Neodiprion lecontei: one gene and its partners. Each later gene encodes a partner of the first gene's protein in a complex. Links are inferred from orthologs where the notes say so. Each region holds a gene or a part of one and is shown in the gene's direction. Other genes may lie near its edges.

Region 1 (6,707 bases):
TCTTCGGTTCGTTCGACTAGAGCGACAGAATGCCCGTTGTCCGGTGTATTTCAATACTTAATCGGTAATTGGTGACCCAAACTACTGATGTGAGTCTGGCTGTAGCTGCGTGTGAATGTTTCCGGTGTCTAACATCTGGAGATTTCCACTAGGTACCGTTCCGACGTCACAAGTGTGCGTCAGCCGTCCCATGGTCCAGAATTTGTTCCGTCTCACGAACTCGGAATCCAGTGACTTTTCAAGCCCCAATCAGAAGTGTTCCGGACATTCCGTTCCGTGTGCATTACCAGTATTTGCGAACTGTCAAACAAATCTCTGTATCTGTGTGTGTGTGGGTGCGTAACATAAGAAAAAACTGAATTCGTCAGGTCCTGTAAGTATAAAATTCTTCAGAATACGAAATTCATTTATTTAATTGTTCGTTGTAGTTGTTGAAGTGGAAATAATTAAAACTTGCGTCACGTTTGACCTAATATCACCCAATTTCTAACCTATAATTCGAGAATATTCATATCATAACCTCTTATTTGCAGCCTAACGTAAGCATGTAACGTAAGCATGTAAACAATACATATGCTTGTGTGAGTAATACGATTCCGTCTCTGTCAGCATCGGGTGTCCCATGACACGGAATGCACAGGCCCGGAAGTGCCGACACCCAATCACAGTAGTGCATTTCAAATTCAGCGCTAAAAGGAACAATCGCAATTTGCCGGCGATCGTTCCGTGTGTGTCATTTCCGTATCATGGGACAGTAGGAAAAATGCATCCCGTAAATCAGTGGAGCCGGAACGCCTCCGATTGGGGCTTGAAAAGTCACTGGGTTCAGGGTTCGTGGAGACGGAACAAATTCCGGACCATGGGACGGCAGCCTTATACCCGTATTCATAGTCGCTCCTTATCTCAAGGGTAAAGGACGCCTTGATGAAGGCTTCCTTGAATCTCAGAGGCATCCTCGTTTCATAGTCACAACTTGGCTCTCCCTTCCAGGAGGGAAGACATATTTAGGGATATGTGATTGCTTATGGTGGTAAAACTGCTGATCGAAGCGTCACTCGGTTATATTTAAATCTAACTTAAACCGCTTGGCTCTCATTGTCAACTTGCGTCGGTTGATGAGAGTGTATAACTTCAAAGAGGTTAACTTGTAGACTAGCTGTGATCTCTGCGTCATACGGGTCATAAGTGCATAGTCGCCAAGCGCAAGCGCAAGCGTTGGCTACATAAAACGAAACTGCCAATCGCAGTGCCGAAGCTTTCCTCAAGGAAGCTCGAGATCTGCTTTGAAAGAAGGAGGCCAATAAGGCTCCTTGTGCTGTCAAGGAAGGACTATGAATACGGGTGTAACTCACTTCAATTTCACCTTCTCACATCAAATTTTGTGTCAAGTCAGCTCGCGCGAGGAAACTCGCACTTTCAGGAGGTGAGATTGACCGAAATAGGGTGAGCCGCTCACATTCGTCATTTTCACCCAATCCAAAAACCGTAATAAGCCCCCAGAACTTCGATTCCACCGTTTTTGGTGCTATCTTAGTCTCACACCCGCAGTTGATATACTGCCATCTCTTTCTAGCGATCTCGGGATTTGGGTGTATTCCAAAATGTACTTCCAGTACTGCCGACCGTGACGTCACGCAGTCAACTGCGAACTGCGTTCCGTTTTTACTTCGAGTTGCCAGTTGCAGAAAAAGCGGAACGCTACACCGAGGACGCGGCCATCTCTCAAGTACTGCAACTGCCTCACGTCCCAGACCGTAGTAGTCACAGTCAATACGTCACAAATTTCAGACGTCACAGACTGGCGGCAGGAAGCTGTCGCGCGGTTTCGGAACGCGGTTGCTAGTACTTGCAGTACTGCGAGTATATTTCGGAATACACCCATAGTATAAACATGGCTGGTTTTAGTACAAATCTAACCTCTGCGGTCTAAGCAGTTTTTGTCACGGTCAAGACTCTTATCAAGTGTTTTCTGTGTGGAATGTATTTTTCATTTTACCCTGCCTTACTTTTCGGTTACTCACGTGCGGGCTGAATGATACAACAACGTCGTCCGTATCTTGTTCTCTTTGGGGTTCAACGAGTAATTCTTTGCAGTTTTCAAATTGACTTTTTGCTACTTCTTGACATTCCAGTTGCACAACTTATTACAATGGCTTATCTAACCCGCAAAGAGATAGATGATATGAAGCCTCAAATAGAGAAGGCAGTACATAAGTTTCTGGGTTTTGGAGAGCCGTCAATTGTTACTACCGCTATAAACTGCATCACTTCGGGCTACGACAAGCGTAAAACTGCTGGTAAGTTTCTCTATATCACCGACATTCGAACTGATCTACAACTATAACCATTGAACTGTGTCGCTCATTCATTTATCCTTTTCACTCAGTGATTTCAAGTTTTCAATGAAACGCTACTACCTAGCGTTTAGTCAATTTACTAGAGATAAGTATTCATCTTCTGATGGCATGTCAAAACATTTTTTTACAACTTGTATATGTGGTATGTGACAATTTATGTTTTAGACAAACTTTCGGCACTCTTGGAAGAAAAGAAGGCTACCAAGTTGATGGAAAAAATATTTTCAATATACGATGACACCAAAGCTAACCAAAAGAGTAAGAAACGTCCTCATACCGATGACAAGGATAAGGACAGAGATGCAAAGAAACCGAAAACAAAAGAAGACGATTTCATGAACGAAAAACCTACAGAAGCACAATTGTCTGCTGACAAGGTACATTTAAGTTTATAAATCCACTGTCTAGTACCCGAACTGAGGGCAAAAATGCTTTGTATCACAAAAATTGTTTCGATCAACTAAATGCGGCATTCACGGACGGCGATACGAATATTTGGTTACAACAATTTATAAGCTGCTCAAACTAAATAAAAATTACTTCTGTTGACTTTATTATTACTTAACACAAGTAAGAGGATGTACAGTCAACGGAATATTAAGTTGAACGATCTCTATTCTATAGTTGATATAAAAATCATTTTGTTAATCTGAATATCCTACTTCTTGATCCAACAAATGTTTGATGAATGCAAGATCATGTTCTGTTTGTTTCAAAAAATTGTAGTCGTCGGAACTGAATATTCGGTTGGAAAAATCACAGCTAGGTACAAGCAACTGAACATTCAGTTCAGTATAGTGTTTCAATCATCTATTGAAACAACTTACTTGTTAACTTGAGTCTCATATCATTCAGATAAAAAAATGCTCAGGTTATAAAGTAAGGTTATGTTTTATTAGAATTACTGTATATTTCGTTTGACGAGACTGAATCATGGAATGAAAGGATGTCCTGCAGTCATTTGAAAAGGTTCTGATCAAAAATGAAAATAAAATTTTTAGCCTAATTACGACAGTTGGTGGATTTTTCAGTATTGCAAATAACTTATAATTGATTGCAAGTTGGATAAATCACATTTTTAGTTTCTGATTAAAGGCTGCATGATTTTGATCAGGATTCGAATCGGGGATTGCTCACTAATACTTATCATACCACCTAATCGTACATCTGTTGCCACTATGCCAAACTATCGCATAGATTTCGGGTTAACTTTGGCTCACTTAAATGACGAAATACACTTATCTCAGTGATATGAAGCTATTGCCAGCAGACATGAAAAGATTATGTACAAAATGCAAGGATTTCATCAATATTTCAACAATTTAACTGCACTGAAAAAGCCGACGACATAGTACAGTTGAATAATGAAATGCTCGACATGAATATTTTATTCATGTCATTAATTCAACACACAGAAAACATCGATTTCATTACCTTTATGTTTTCCCAGCTGCCACGAACGTTAGAGTTTCGTGGTTTTTTTTTCAACCAACAAAATATTTGAAAGTAGGTAAATTTATTAGCCTATTTGTGTTTGTAGATAAATTTATTTTACCATATGTATGGAAACCATTTTCTTATTGTTTCGACTGATACATTCGTTTAAATCAGCAAAAGTATTTGCAGTTAGTCGCATTATCGCTGACTTGGATCAACGAAAAAAATGGTACCCACGAAATGTAGATTCGCTTACGCTAAGGAATTTAATTTTTTTTCATCCAATTAAATCGATTCAGTTGATTTACTGACTTTTCTTATCACCATTCGATTAACATTCATCAATGCTTGGTTAAGAATTTCATCTCCTCATTTTCCTCCTCTGCTACATTTTTTTTTATAGATAAAACAAATGATGATGAATGCTCAAAGAGAGATCGAGGAGCGCAAACGGGCGTTAAAGGCGATACGGCAAGATGATATGCCGCCAGTCAGACCCTTGTTCCGAGCTCGCGAATCCATGCCGTCCGTAGGGAGTATGTACAATCAGGGACTGTTGAGTAAAAATGATTCTGACAAAGCTCGGAAGATTGCTGCACTTCAGGCTCAAATTAGGAATAAACTCAGTTCGGGATTATTGGGAAGCCTGCCAGTCCCTGATAAGCCAACACCCTTGATATTGGATGAATCTGGAAGAACAGTCGATATTACAGGAAAAGAAGTTCAACTCACCCAGGTAGTTCCTACGCTGAAAGCCAATATTCGAGCAAAGAAACGGGAAGAATTCAAAGCCCAGCTGCAGGATTCTAAGGGGCCAGAGGAGATGCAGGATACGCATTTTTTTGATAGTCGGATCGGTGCAAAGCCAGCCCAAAGAAACAAGAGAGCCTTAAAATTTCACGAGCCTGGGAAGTTTCAACAGTTGGCAGATAGAATACGTATGAAAGCCCAATTGGAAAAATTACAAAACGAAATATCACAAATTGCCAGAAAAACCGGTATCAGTTCGGCAACAAAATTGGCACTGATTGCCCCCAAGACCGAGGCCATGAACGAAGATGTGCCCAATGTTGAATGGTGGGATTCGGTTATTATTACTGGATGTTACACAGATGACGAAGAACAAATGCCAATCAAGTTTTCTGCCATTACAAACTTGGTTGAACATCCTACGCAAATGCGGCCTCCAAGTAAGTTATGAAACTCTGGACGATCAGATTGTTTGTAATAGTACTTTTAGCTGCTTTCCGGTTGCATTATGAAAATTGAAATCCTCAAAGGAAGAGTGTTATAGCTCACAGTACCTTGAATAAATATCTTCAGAGAAATTCAAATCCTTGCCCTATTTATCAATAACCATATTTATTACATATGTGTGTAACTGCAGAGTTTTCATTTGCTCAAGAATTACCTGCTTGTATAATAATATGACCCCAACTTTCATTGTCTTCGATCTATTTTTCGTTTGCTTACAGCTGATCCTCTCAAGCCAATCTACATGCCAGTATTTCTGACAAAGAAGGAGCGTAAAAAATTACGTCGGCAGAACCGACGAGAAGCATGGAAAGAGGAACAAGAGAAGATCCGCCTGGGTTTGGAACCACCGCCTGAGCCAAAGCTGAGGATCTCTAATTTAATGCGTGTCTTGGGTACAGAAGCTGTACAGGATCCCACAAAAATTGAGGCTCACGTACGCCAACAGATGGCAAAGAGATTAAAGGCTCATGAGGATGCAAACGCGGCGCGTCGACTTACTGCGGAACAACGACGCGAGAAAAAAGCTCGTAAGCTGAAAGAGGATACCACCCTTGGAGTACACGTAGCAGTTTACAGGTAATCCATTGATATATACCCTGCACATGGGGATGGCCACGTTCATAGAACTATATTCAAATGAATTATTTCAGGATACGAGATCTAGTTAATAATGCATCGAAAAAGTTCAAAGTGGAAACAAATGCCAAACAATTATACTTGACCGGGTGTGTGATGTTGTTTCGCGACTGCAATGTAGTCGTAGTTGAGGGTGGAGCTAAACAACTGAGCAAGTATAAACGTTTGATGGTACGGCGAATAAAATGGGAAGAGGATATCGTCAAGGATAATGATGGAAACGAGGTGCCTAATAGATGTGTTTTGGTTTGGGAGGGTACAAGCAAACAGCGACACTTTGGCGAGGTAAAATTCAAGGTGTGCCCAATCGAAAAAATGGCAAGGGAACACTTCAAAAAACATCAAGTTGAGCACTATTGGGATCTAGCATATAGTGGTGCGGTATTAGACAATACAGATGATGCACGTACCTAAAACCTAGTGTGGTAATGAAACAATATTACAAACAATGAATCGTAGAATTCTTGGTGAGAAATAAATGATAAATAATCAATTTCAGATATTTTTACATATTTCGTGTAAAGTTGGAGTTTGTTAAACTAATTCAATTACTGAAAGGAGATGTGCTTCTGTTCATAATTATGTACCTAAGGATCACTTGTTAAACATCTGCTTTCGTCGCTTGGATTGACTGTCAGTACCAGGTCCCTGGCGCTCTTATTCATTTCATATAGGGAACTGTCTGCGCTTATGATCACCATATACATATAGTTCGTACTGCATGGCGCTGGCATATTTCGGTGTTCCCCCCTCTTGCGCCCTAACACTCCTTGCCGGCGCAAGCTAGCCGTAGTGGCAGCTGGTAGCAGCTGATGGCAGCGAGACGCCGCAGAATACTGCCAGCGCCACGGAGCGGCTGGTGATATTCGGGGGACAGGAATGTGGCTTGAGTGCCAGGGGGCTGGTCAGTATATCTATAGTCTTGATGCCCCTGTAAGTATCTCAGTAGTCATGACATGGAAAAATAGTCCTGAAATGAGAGACGTAGTCAGAAGTTATCGGTTCCTTAGAGTCCCTTTA
Region 2 (3,233 bases), on another chromosome or scaffold:
ACAATATACAATATAACAATGAAATAACATCTAGTGAATAAAGATTAATGCAGAAAATTTTTTCCTTTAAATGTAACTCACTCACATAAGACTGAATGAAAAATTATGGTACAATCATTAACTTTATTTATATATATTTAAGAACATACAGATTGTATTTTCCACGTTCAAACAATTCTAGCAAATAATGAATTCAACAATGAAAGTACTTTAACATTTGTCAAAAATGCCTGAGATGGCCTTGATATGTTAAATATAGTATGCAGCAAGAGGCAACATCATTTCTGAAAATTAATATCTACGAGAAACGTGTTCCCTGGTAAAAGATTGTTATTGTTATTATTATGATTATTCTGAGCAGGACAAAGATTCTAGGAAATTTTTCATTCTTCACGAGTCAAGAGGTAATTCTCATACAGGGAAACGAGGCACAAAGAACAACGAGATGAGAATAATAATCGTTTCCAGATGGGTGAAAATTAATAAAATTTGTAACTGGCGAAATATTTGGGAAAATAGTTTTCATGGTTTAAATGAGATTATGAGGTAAGAGCTGGGGTAGTTGAGCGGTGTGTGATAGATAAATAATATTAGTATTGATTGAAATTCGATTAAATAAATCGTGAAATTTACACCTGTTGAATGGAATTATTTAAATTAGCAATTCGCGAGCAGCGTGCGACGAATTGCGAGGACAAGTAGTCAAATTTGGTCCGAAGATAGAATAAGAATAATAATACGAACGTTGAATGCAAAATGGAATATGTATTTGGCGTGTTCGTACGCATGCATACACGCACGTATATATGTGCGTAATAAATTTGTAGAGGCGAAAATTGTGCGGCAACCGGAATATGAGGTGATAGAATAGAACATTTCGATGGTATCATAACAGAAGACGGGGTGTTTTTGTTATCATTTTTTCATCATTTTCAACGGATAATATACCATGTGTAAATTAGGATGGAAGAGTGACTAGGTATCCAGATACCAAGTCCATTCGGTGAGTGTTCACGGGGCAAATCAATCGGGAAGTCTGTACGTTAGCGAGAAAGAGAGAAAAAGAAAAAAAAAATCGCGTGGTCAGGGAGCTGGGTAGACAGCCTCTGAAGTAGGTATATACAGCGTGAACAAAACGTCCCCTTTGACATTGTTTGATGATACATCTAACAAAGCGACGTGCGTATTATACATAACCGTTGTTGTTTCATTACAACGATATTATAATTAGATACTAGAAGTTGCATGTAGATATATATGTATTAATAGCTATGTATCTACGGATAGTAGAGAGCTTGTCAAATCCACCCCATCGGACACAACAATTAAAATGAATATTGTGATATCTCTTACCTCGGTACAGTTAACTCCGGGAAATCACTTTGAATCACTAACTTAATACAATTGTCATGTCTAATTGGAAAATAACTTTTAACGTAACTCATATTGCTCGCACATTGGCACATTTACAAAATCACACAAATAACGAAAGAGTTATACTTCTGCCATGTTCGGCTACAAATTCTACATTGCTGCTGAACCTCGCCGCTGATACCTTCTGCTTCTCCCGTCGACCGTCGCGGCGGCGCTGCTGTCGACATCGAATCATCACTGAATAATATGCGCCAAATGGGCAACGGCCAAAGGGCAATGCCAGTATACTCTGTCTCTCTTTCTCTACACTCTGATTGGCTGAGCATTACGAGATATGCGCGTTCGGCCAATCGCAGCGCAGAGCGAGAGAGACAGAGTGTACGGCAATTGCCTTTTACTGGGAAGCCACCTCCATGCGATATAAGCACGACGGCAACGGCAATGTGCGCGCAACTACCGGTGTTTCGAATCCAACGACGCGTAGTCATTTTACAGGACGTCCGGATTGCCGTCCCGCTTAATTAGTTGATTGTTAGTTGGTTAAAAAGTGAGGGTATATTAATACCGATTGACGAGACTATTCTGTTCCCAAAATGACTAGCTCTGTGACTACGAATCCATCCACGCTTTTGCCGCTAGGTAAATAAATAAAATAATAACGAAATTTTTCCTAACCTCTATGATCTAACGACAGAACGACGTTGTTTATTATTTATTTTTTGTGTATTTTTAAAATACGTTTTAAAATATATGCCATTAGTTCGGGGTAGTCCACGTGTCTTTTACATTCTCGTATTTTCTGCAACCTTGCTCATTATCGATCATCTTAATTTTCTCTATTAACTGATGTTTTATTTCATTGAATTTTACTTTACAGAATTGGTGGACAAGTGCATCGGCTCCCGCATTCACATTATCATGAAAAATGATAAAGAAATTGTGGGTACATTACAAGGATTTGATGACTTTGTGAATATGTTATTGGATGATGTGACTGAAAGCGAAGCAACACCCGAGGGACGCAGAGTTACAAAATTGGATCAGATCCTCCTCAATGGAAATAACATTACGATGGTTAATATGGAAATACAAATACATTTCGATAGCATGATGTGTTTAAAATGCACAACAAGGTTTATTGCAACAGTTTGACTATCATTTTTTCTTTCCTGTTTCAGTTAGTACCTGGAGGTGATATGCCAGAAACATAATCTCATCCCCTGTGATTTCATGTATAATACTTTTGACATTTACTGCTATGTGATTGTAAAAATTTATTCAAATAACAATGATTTTCTTTTGTAAACATTTCTGCATTGTCTTCCTTTTATCCCGTATCATCATTGAGCCTTTGCCATTTCTAATTAACTTCAACACTTTGCTTCGACCTCTAAATCTTGAAGCTCCGTTGCAACTCCATCTATACTGGGTCTATCTGTTTTTTCAAATGACCACATCTTTGAATACAACGCTTTATACTTGCCACCTAAATTATCATCCAGCATTGAATCCTCCGGTTTTATACCTTTCCCAGTGAGATACAAAATAGCGTGAGGATGGAGGTCAGCGAATGGCAAAGTCCTGCTTAGCATTTGCCAGGCCAAAATTCCCAGGGAATATATGTCTGAAGGTGGAGAGGGTAATTCCCCTCTGATTACTTCTGGGGCTACATAACCAGGTGTACCCTGAAAATATGGCATAAACCTGGTGATTTAGGGAATGAAATCGTGATGCAAAACTAAAAAACCTACTCGAATTCCTGTATATGTGTCTTCTTCCCCCAAAAGAACGGAGCTACCAAAATCTGCTAATTTTGGGTTGCCATCTGCGGCCATGAGAATATTTTTTGGCTTCACATC
Region 3 (4,023 bases), on another chromosome or scaffold:
AGAGTGGCAAATTTTTCAATAAATAACATTACCTTTAACATCGTTAAACTGTCAACTTTATACTCAAATCTATTTCCTAACTACAGGCTCTAATTTTCTTAGAAACGAATGAAAGAAAAGAAAATCAGAAGAAAGCATTTGTTACAAACAAGTAATATTATACTTTTTTTTATTCAATTAACGTAACACTTACAGCTCCATTTACGCGAACCTATAAAAACGTGCCAAGGACATTTTTTAAAGACACAAATTCCAGGATTGTAAATTTACAGAATTCCCTGACTTTTGCCAGTTTTTCCAGTTTTCTCTGTGCGTACGAACCCTGAATTTAAATTAAACGAAGAGAGACAGAGTGAAATACGAGATATCATCGTCGCTCTGGGCAAGTATCTTATCTTATCAGTCCCGTTGGCGCTCTTTATACTTCGGGTTTCGTTCTCGCTTTTACGCGCCGTATGTACACACATGCATATTTTATTGACGAACCGAGCCGAGATAAGTGACGATGCGCTTTCTGCCGACTGTATTACGCACCTCCGTTATTATTCACCATTCAGGCATAGCAGGTAAGTAGCGGTGCGTGTGGTGAATAAGCGAATGCGGTATATAATCATACGGAATAATCAAATACCTGCGCCAGTTGTCGCAGCACGTGTGTAGCGTGTATTCAGGTGTAAATTCCGAGATTCTTGATGCAGGAATTCGAATCGCTTACTCGGAAACTAATTGTTACGCGCAACTGAAATCCGAGAATCGATTGTCCGAGCTTTTGTAACGCGGCGTGAGAATCGTACAAAGCCAAACAAGAACAGCGGTTGTAAGTTCGTTTCGTAGCGCGGATGTAAAAGTGGATTATGTAATGCAGTTGATGTTTGTCGAGCCGCAAGCTGAGTCCACCCGACACAAGTTACACACGTTTTGTCACGAGTTATGCCGGTGCAGTTATAGCCGGAAAAGAAAGGCGGATCATTATTTACCTTAGCATTCTACTCTGTGAAGGAATGTTCTCCCGACCTCAAGACATATGAAAATCGACGAATCTAATGAGGAATTCGAACGAGTAGGAAGATTAAGATTACACAAGCGTTTTGAGTTACGCTTCTCCAGCAACGAACAAGAGACGCTCGACGAGCGTGTATTCAGTTATCTATCCGAAGTTAGATCTCACGCTAGTTCCGGTTGACAAACTGAGATACCAACAGTTAATATGTGCCGATTGCCGTTTGGACATTAGTCCTGATACATCGCCGTTTGCATTCCTACACTCTGCTGGGAGCAATTTATTGAGGCGGGATTCTCACCGTTCCGAGTTGGAGTCGGTTTTTGGATACAAAAGAAAACCACCCCCCGCATAGCCGGCGCCCCAACTGCCATGTGCCGCCCTCGACCTTTTCCCGTGACAAGGTTCAGCGCCACGGCCATTGGCGGGGCGTAAAATTGATCGGTTTAATCACAACGGCGCGTAACTTTGATGGGAGGTTCGGAAAGGCAAGGAGCGACCCTTGGAGCGTGCTGTCAAACAACAATCACATGATACCGTGCGATACTCCGAACGACCCATCCCAGCTCGAACCTGCGGCCAACATCAGACGGTGGCAAGATGTCAGGCATTTATTGTCGGGTTGACGTCTATATCACTCACCATATCTGCTCCGCGTCTTTCCAGGTATCCAAACATTTCACCGACACTCGAAACACCCGACAAATTAACCTCCGATACACCTAATGTGTCACTTTATCGCCCGTAATATCTATCCGCAAACACAGAAAATGGCGTTACTCACTTGCCAGTGACACGACCGACTCGATTCTGCTACTCGAGCGCCGCTCGCCGCCTCGAAGGGGTGGTCACATTGCGAACTACTTACTACTCGAACACGTACTTACGTATCGAGGAGATGCGCGTCTGCAGTTTATTTCCGAGGTTCGTCTGTTTCGGTTAACCGAGTAGCTGATTGGTCCGTTCCAGCAGAAACTCGATGGCAATTGGTGTACGCACAATTGGAAGCAAAAATTGCCCTTGGAATTAGTCCGGTGTGTATAATTATAGAGAAGTTGCACCGTTGGCAGTTTTTATGACTTCACTATTAGGTTAGGTCGCCGAAAGGGGGACGCTGATAATTTTTGAGTTGGGAGTATTGACGAGAATGCATTTGTTTCATTTCAATGTAATTGTAAATAATGCGATGGTTTTGGAAAAGGATTCTAAAGATCTGGGTGCCTTATTTTGTAACTTTGCGGCAACGTTAAAGAATAAAGTATTCAGATTTAAATCAACGCCTCATGTCCGGGCTGGATAAGTATGTGAAGTCAATACCGACACTACCGTTCTTCGAGTGTTGAGCGCGAGTGAATTCATAGGTCGGCTACAATCGAGGTTTTGATCGAGATCGATATTCAATTGTTAGTGAAACGAAGTCGGTTAAATTTCTGTCGCGTCGTAAAGTGACGTTTGTTAGTTTTCAGAAAATAATTGACGAGTCAACATTTTCATTGTAATTTGTGACGGGATTATCAACACGTCATGGCCGATGATGCAGAGCAGGTAACGCATTTTATTTTTGTTAAGATAATTCAATCCCTAACCTCAACTAACCTAAAATTTTGTCGGTCTTCAATACAGGTTCCTGCCATCAACGTTAAGGAACCGTTAGATCTAATCAGACTCAGCTTGGACGAACGAATTTACGTCAAAATGAGAAACGAAAGGGAACTCAGAGGAAGACTACACGTAATTCTGTTTTAGGAATCTTATTTTGTCAAATTAGTACTGTGTCGATGCATACCAAGCGCTTATTAGGAGTGCGATTCTCTAACACTGATTGATAGATAACAGCGGCACTTCAGTTAGGCGAGCAGAATAATAGTTGCTATTTGCAGTATTATTATTCTTATTAAGTTATAACGATTTGCTAACATAAAGTTAGTGACAATCGTTATTTTCAAGAACCATCGGTCCTCGTCAAATAATAAAAATCAAACAAGTTGCATTATTGTGATAAAATTTTGCGATCCACATTCTATTTCTTCACAACATAAGATAGAATGTCAGCACTGCTCCCAATATTGGAAATTTTAAGTAAACAATAATAACTCATATTTTGATACAATTACCTGACCTACGATCTATTTAAATGAGAATTGATTCATTGAACAAATGGTGGTTAATCATTTTAATTTCAGGCCTATGATCAACATTTAAATATGGTTCTGGGTGAGGCAGAGGAAACTGTAACAACCGTTGAGATAGACGAAGAAACCTACGAGGAAGTTTACAGAACGACTAAAAGAAATATTCCAATGTTGTTTGTTCGTGGCGACGGTGTCATTCTGGTATCTCCGCCAAGCATGAGGGCGCCAATCTAATCCCTACTGACGTAATTAACTCTAAAATAATTTAAAAACAAATAATCACTGGATAAGCTTATGCTACTATTACAGGCAATAATTGATGCAAATAAAATGAACTTTGTGTATGAAAACGTGAAGAATGGAAAAAAACTTAGGCACGCTGTCCTTCTTTCGAAATAGATATTAAAAAATTTTTGTATTATGCTGAAGCTTAACTGATTATCAGCCAAAATTCAATCTACTTCAGTCTAATTTTATGAAGCAATGAAATTGATTTAAAAAATTAGGAATATTACTCACTTGATACTTGTCGACTCCTCATTCAATACGAACATCAAATTATTCACGATTATTTAAAACGCAAAATATATTAGCTCACATTACACACAATTGGAGTAAATAATTCATGAGGCAAAATGCTTTTAGTTTCGAAATGTTACATGCAGATTGAATGAATTCATTGTTGCCTGGTGCAGTTACTTGATTCTAATACCGCAAGACATAATTTGCAAGTTCGATAGTATATTTCTCAATGAAATCCCGCAAACTACAAGCAGATTATCATATTACAGCGATTTGTAGACACGGATTCAACAGACTCTATACAAACTTGTAGGGTATCAGCCTACACTTTGCTGTTCCGACTTTTTGGTAAGCCAGAGCCTAAGAGAT
Region 4 (4,088 bases), on another chromosome or scaffold:
TTTTCGATGCCTTAGTTTTCTATGTTTTTAAAATAAAGCCAACTATATCAATAGGTGAACTGTTATGCTATCTGCATGAAACACTATATAAATACATAAGTATTATTGTTTTTTTCAGTCCTGATGGCTCAAAGTGGACTCCAAAACCTCATCACGTAATATGTAATAGTCATTTCATTGGCAAGAAAAAATCAGATGATCCTGCGAGTCCAAGCTACGCGCCAACTCTATTCCCTCCTGTTTATCATGCAAAGCAATTAAATGAAAGAGCTGTTTTAAGCAGGTAAATATATGAAAAGTAAAAAAATAATTATAAAATCAAATAATATATACATTTATATTTATATAATAACATATGTAGGTATCTATTAATTATAGGTACAATCGACTCATTAACCGAAGAAAGACTCTTCACAAGCATAACATCGAAGTGAATTGTGATACTGGAAATCCAGTTAATGACGACTCTAACAATGTTGTCAATAATAATGGACGTGATCCTATGGATGTAAGCAGTGCAGAAGTAATTTTAAAAACTGATCAAGAGTGTCAAGTAGATTTTGTAAATTCTGCTGGTATCGAACAAACAAAAACTTTCACTTGTAACAGATATATTTACATGACTATTTACTGCGATGCTGAAGTTCAAACTGAAATACCGGAAATTGCCACTCTCAAAACTATTGTGAATAGGAAAAAAAATGAAAGATGAAAGGGTACAATGCGGCACATCGTTAACAGATATAATAGATAAGTCGGTTGGTTTTAACGAGGCTGTAGTTGAACAAAATAGGAAACAGCGTAGTTTCTGTGGTTTTCCATCTATTAAGACCGATGAAGATTTATTAGATATTGCTGGAGTGAACTTCCAGAACTTTAATTTTTTATGAAGCATATTATTCAGTAACATCGTAATCAACAAAAATAATGATTGCTCACGTTTAACTGTACTTTATGTGGCTCAGAAGATACGGATGCTGGTCGACCAACTTCAGCTTGATTAAACAAACTTTCTCCATTATGCCTGTATTCTTGCATACTCCGAACATGATCGGCGTTAAATAGATTTATGCCTTTTAGTTCCGTTGTAGGTTGAAAGTTTATTTTGCATATGATTTTTTCATATCCTGTCCTTATTAAAACATCCATGACTACGGATTTTGCCATTAAAAAATTACTGAAAATTCCCTAGGACAGAGTCAGAGCTATTCGCGAACTTGGAAGCGCAAAAGAGATAAAGGATTGCTGACAGTACTGTCAGTGAATTTTCGAACACGGCCTAAATGGAAAGCACCCAGTGTGGTTCTTCCTGATCTGTCACAATAATTAATCTTAAAATATAAACGTGTTTCTATTTATTTTGTGAACGTCAGGACGTTAAGGGCGCAACTCGTTAATGCTTAACCTTACGAAATTGAGCTAGATTGGTCAAAACTGGTTAATGCGGATTTTTTGGGCGAACGCGCATAGAACATTTTTGCCCACGTTATAGTGAGAAAAACTGGAACACGTGTGTCTTGACCTGTATAATCTAGGGACCTTGGGCTTACCCTAAGGCTGCGCTGCTCCAAGTGGCGGAAATGAGCACTACGCTTTGCCATATTATTTGAGTCACCCCCCACCCTCTGAGTTCCCAGCCTGTATGAAAGCATCCATTGTCATAACAAACTTTTGGCGCATTCTCACTAATTTTTTTGCCCACGCGTGCCTTGACTTTCCTAATCTAGGGACCTTGGTACGTCAACCTTCAGAATCACCTTCTTGCCTTCATTCTTCTATGCCTGTGGCTTAAATTATTGAATATCTAGTTTGAAGCTACCACGAACCAGATCGGAACAAGAAAAACAATAATAAATTCGCTTATTTACAAAATAATAAGGTAAAAATCAATTTACGTATAAATAGTTGACATGTTAAGGTGGTGATATGCTTTCCCAAACTTCATCCGTGGAAAGTATGTATCACTTCATCAACAGTAGTGTTGTTTCGTATAGTCTGATCTAGGTTTGACAGAACCTAACCAGTCATTTTGCCCGCATGTGGATACAGAATGTTATAATTTTGCTTGATCCATATTTAAATTTATCTTGGGCGTTCTTAGAAATGTTTTTATCCGCACTGGCAATCGTTAATTATACTTATTCGAGCATCCGACTTCCCTTCAACTTACGTACTCTAAAACTACAAGGTTAATTTCCTAAGTTGACACGAAATTTGACGTTCGTTTGTTTTCAGATGAGCCGTAAAGAAGCACTTTCTCAATTTATACAACAAATTCATGGCCGACCAGTTGTAGTAAAATTAAATAGTGGTGTTGATTACAGAGGTTTGTTCAAAAGTAATCTAAATACTTCGTACCCTAAAAATGAGTAGACAGAAATTCTATAAGCTAACATTTTTGTTCTATACACCTATCTGAAAACTTAGCCAACAACAGTGACTCGATTATACAATTGTACTTGCTTATTGTTTTCCAAGGAAGATTGAAACACTTGATTTTATCCAAATACAAATTTTTGATGATAGGTATAGAATTAATATTCCTACCAAGATGAATTCACCAACGAATGAATGTTTTAAAAAATGCCCCGACTGAATGAACAACTATTATAAAATAACTGTATACGGGAATGCTTTTCTATAGATTGTTTATTTACTGATGAATGTTCATTCACTGGTACGGGCACTCTATTCTACAAATCTAAATTTCCACTACAGTTTTATACTTTTATAGCAAAAGTCTATCCAAATGTAAAAATGACAATAATTTTCAGGCGTCTTGGCATGTCTTGATGGGTACATGAATATCGCGCTTGAACAAACAGAAGAGTACGTTAATGGACAGTTAAAGAATAAGTACGGCGATGCCTTCATTCGAGGAAATAATGTGCTGTACATAAGCACACAGAAACGAAGGACATGAAATGTGAAATTCCAAGTATCTAAAACTGATCATATATAATTAAGATAACAAAAGATATAGAAGTAAATAATGGACTGTCATATTACATTTCCTCAAAATAATATTTATTTGTAATACATGCTGTTCATCTATTTCTGTACCTAACCACAGACTTCTGCCATTTTCGGTCAGATCCGACATGACGAATGTATATTTTGGTTGTATGGAAGTCATTCCACATCAAACAGTACAGTTTTGGGGCACAATTAACATTGATAATTTCAAACTTCACGAAAGGTTGTGAATATGTTGGCGTAGCTCCGAAGTAATTCCTCTTAATATCACTCCCAGTTACTCATACTCCAAAACTTCAAGAAAACGGTAAAATAGTCGCGCACGGGGAATTTCAAACAGTCGTATTTCCGGACCGATTCATCGTACAGAGTCCAGATGGAGCTCATTTCAAAGCTAATAATATTACCCTGAAGTGCATGTATACGAATTACATGAATTTCACTTCTCTCGTGACGAAACTGTTTTTTCATCAGTACAATTATTCGAAGGGATTTTTCACCATGGTCTGTATTACCTAAATCTCTGAAAAAATACTAGTGTGTTCCTCATTTGATTTCCACTAAAACGTTATAAATGAATTTTTGCAAAACAATATGCTGTATGTAAAAAATTAGAAAATCTGGTTCTCTTTGTACAGTCTATGCACCGTAGCCTATATGCACAGACGAAGATTCGGTAAAGTCATTTAAGAAGGTTGATTTCATTGAATCCTGTAATCACTTATTATTTACAATACTATAATAAGTATACATTCTTTTACAATAAACAAAGTTTACGCAGTTATTTTGTTTTCTGATCGTGGCAGAAAATCAATTGGTCCAACAGCGTTCTGCGATTGGCCTTGCAAAAAATAAATTGTTGCACGCAACTTCCCTTCTTTTTTGAGTCAATTGACCTACGATCGAACAGAAAAATATTGTCGATGGCGCCAAGAAGATATACTCTTAGGAAAACAATAAAATTGGCAAATTAATCATAAATCTTCTTCAAGTGCGTAGCAGATATATGGTAGCAGAATATTTTAAATAGCTGAATTTCGACGATAAAATCTTAACGCGATTACAGTTTTGGTATGAAATTTTGATAAAACACAAAAGGTATAATTTTCTCA

The links.
Region 2: U4/U6 small nuclear ribonucleoprotein Prp3 (region 1) and U6 snRNA-associated Sm-like protein LSm5 share a complex: the UniProt entries of both Homo sapiens proteins name them as parts of the precatalytic spliceosome. The link is inferred for Neodiprion lecontei from reciprocal best matches to the Homo sapiens genes PRPF3 and LSM5.
Region 3: U4/U6 small nuclear ribonucleoprotein Prp3 (region 1) and U6 snRNA-associated Sm-like protein LSm3 share a complex: the UniProt entries of both Homo sapiens proteins name them as parts of the precatalytic spliceosome. The link is inferred for Neodiprion lecontei from reciprocal best matches to the Homo sapiens genes PRPF3 and LSM3.
Region 4: U4/U6 small nuclear ribonucleoprotein Prp3 (region 1) and U6 snRNA-associated Sm-like protein LSm6 share a complex: the UniProt entries of both Homo sapiens proteins name them as parts of the precatalytic spliceosome. The link is inferred for Neodiprion lecontei from reciprocal best matches to the Homo sapiens genes PRPF3 and LSM6.

The regions. Positions count from the first base shown.
Region 1 is NC_060265.1:31,665,017-31,671,723, forward strand, and holds U4/U6 small nuclear ribonucleoprotein Prp3, read left to right. Parts: upstream 1-1,830; 5' UTR 1,831-2,032; coding exon 2,033-2,297; intron 2,298-2,522; coding exon 2,523-2,734; intron 2,735-4,197; coding exon 4,198-4,984; intron 4,985-5,269; coding exon 5,270-5,627; intron 5,628-5,701; coding exon 5,702-6,101; 3' UTR 6,102-6,185; downstream 6,186-6,707. UniProt on the Homo sapiens protein: Plays a role in pre-mRNA splicing as component of the U4/U6-U5 tri-snRNP complex that is involved in spliceosome assembly, and as component of the precatalytic spliceosome (spliceosome B complex).
Region 2 is NC_060261.1:5,613,948-5,617,180, forward strand, and holds U6 snRNA-associated Sm-like protein LSm5, read left to right. Parts: upstream 1-1,788; 5' UTR 1,789-1,967; coding exon 1,968-2,013; intron 2,014-2,251; coding exon 2,252-2,448; intron 2,449-2,552; coding exon 2,553-2,585; 3' UTR 2,586-2,682; downstream 2,683-3,233. Other genes in the region: serine/threonine-protein kinase mos, read right to left, coding at 2,745-3,059, 3,126-3,233. UniProt on the Homo sapiens protein: Plays a role in pre-mRNA splicing as component of the U4/U6-U5 tri-snRNP complex that is involved in spliceosome assembly, and as component of the precatalytic spliceosome (spliceosome B complex).
Region 3 is NC_060260.1:25,385,476-25,389,498, reverse strand, and holds U6 snRNA-associated Sm-like protein LSm3, read left to right. Parts: upstream 1-1,867; 5' UTR 1,868-2,524; coding exon 2,525-2,545; intron 2,546-2,623; coding exon 2,624-2,731; intron 2,732-3,183; coding exon 3,184-3,366; 3' UTR 3,367-3,488; downstream 3,489-4,023. UniProt on the Homo sapiens protein: Plays a role in pre-mRNA splicing as component of the U4/U6-U5 tri-snRNP complex that is involved in spliceosome assembly, and as component of the precatalytic spliceosome (spliceosome B complex).
Region 4 is NC_060266.1:17,404,001-17,408,088, forward strand, and holds U6 snRNA-associated Sm-like protein LSm6, read left to right. Parts: upstream 1-1,722; 5' UTR 1,723-1,879; intron 1,880-2,235; coding exon 2,236-2,326; intron 2,327-2,774; coding exon 2,775-2,923; 3' UTR 2,924-3,578; downstream 3,579-4,088. Other genes in the region: uncharacterized protein LOC124295486, read left to right, coding at 119-283, 379-712. UniProt on the Homo sapiens protein: Plays a role in pre-mRNA splicing as component of the U4/U6-U5 tri-snRNP complex that is involved in spliceosome assembly, and as component of the precatalytic spliceosome (spliceosome B complex).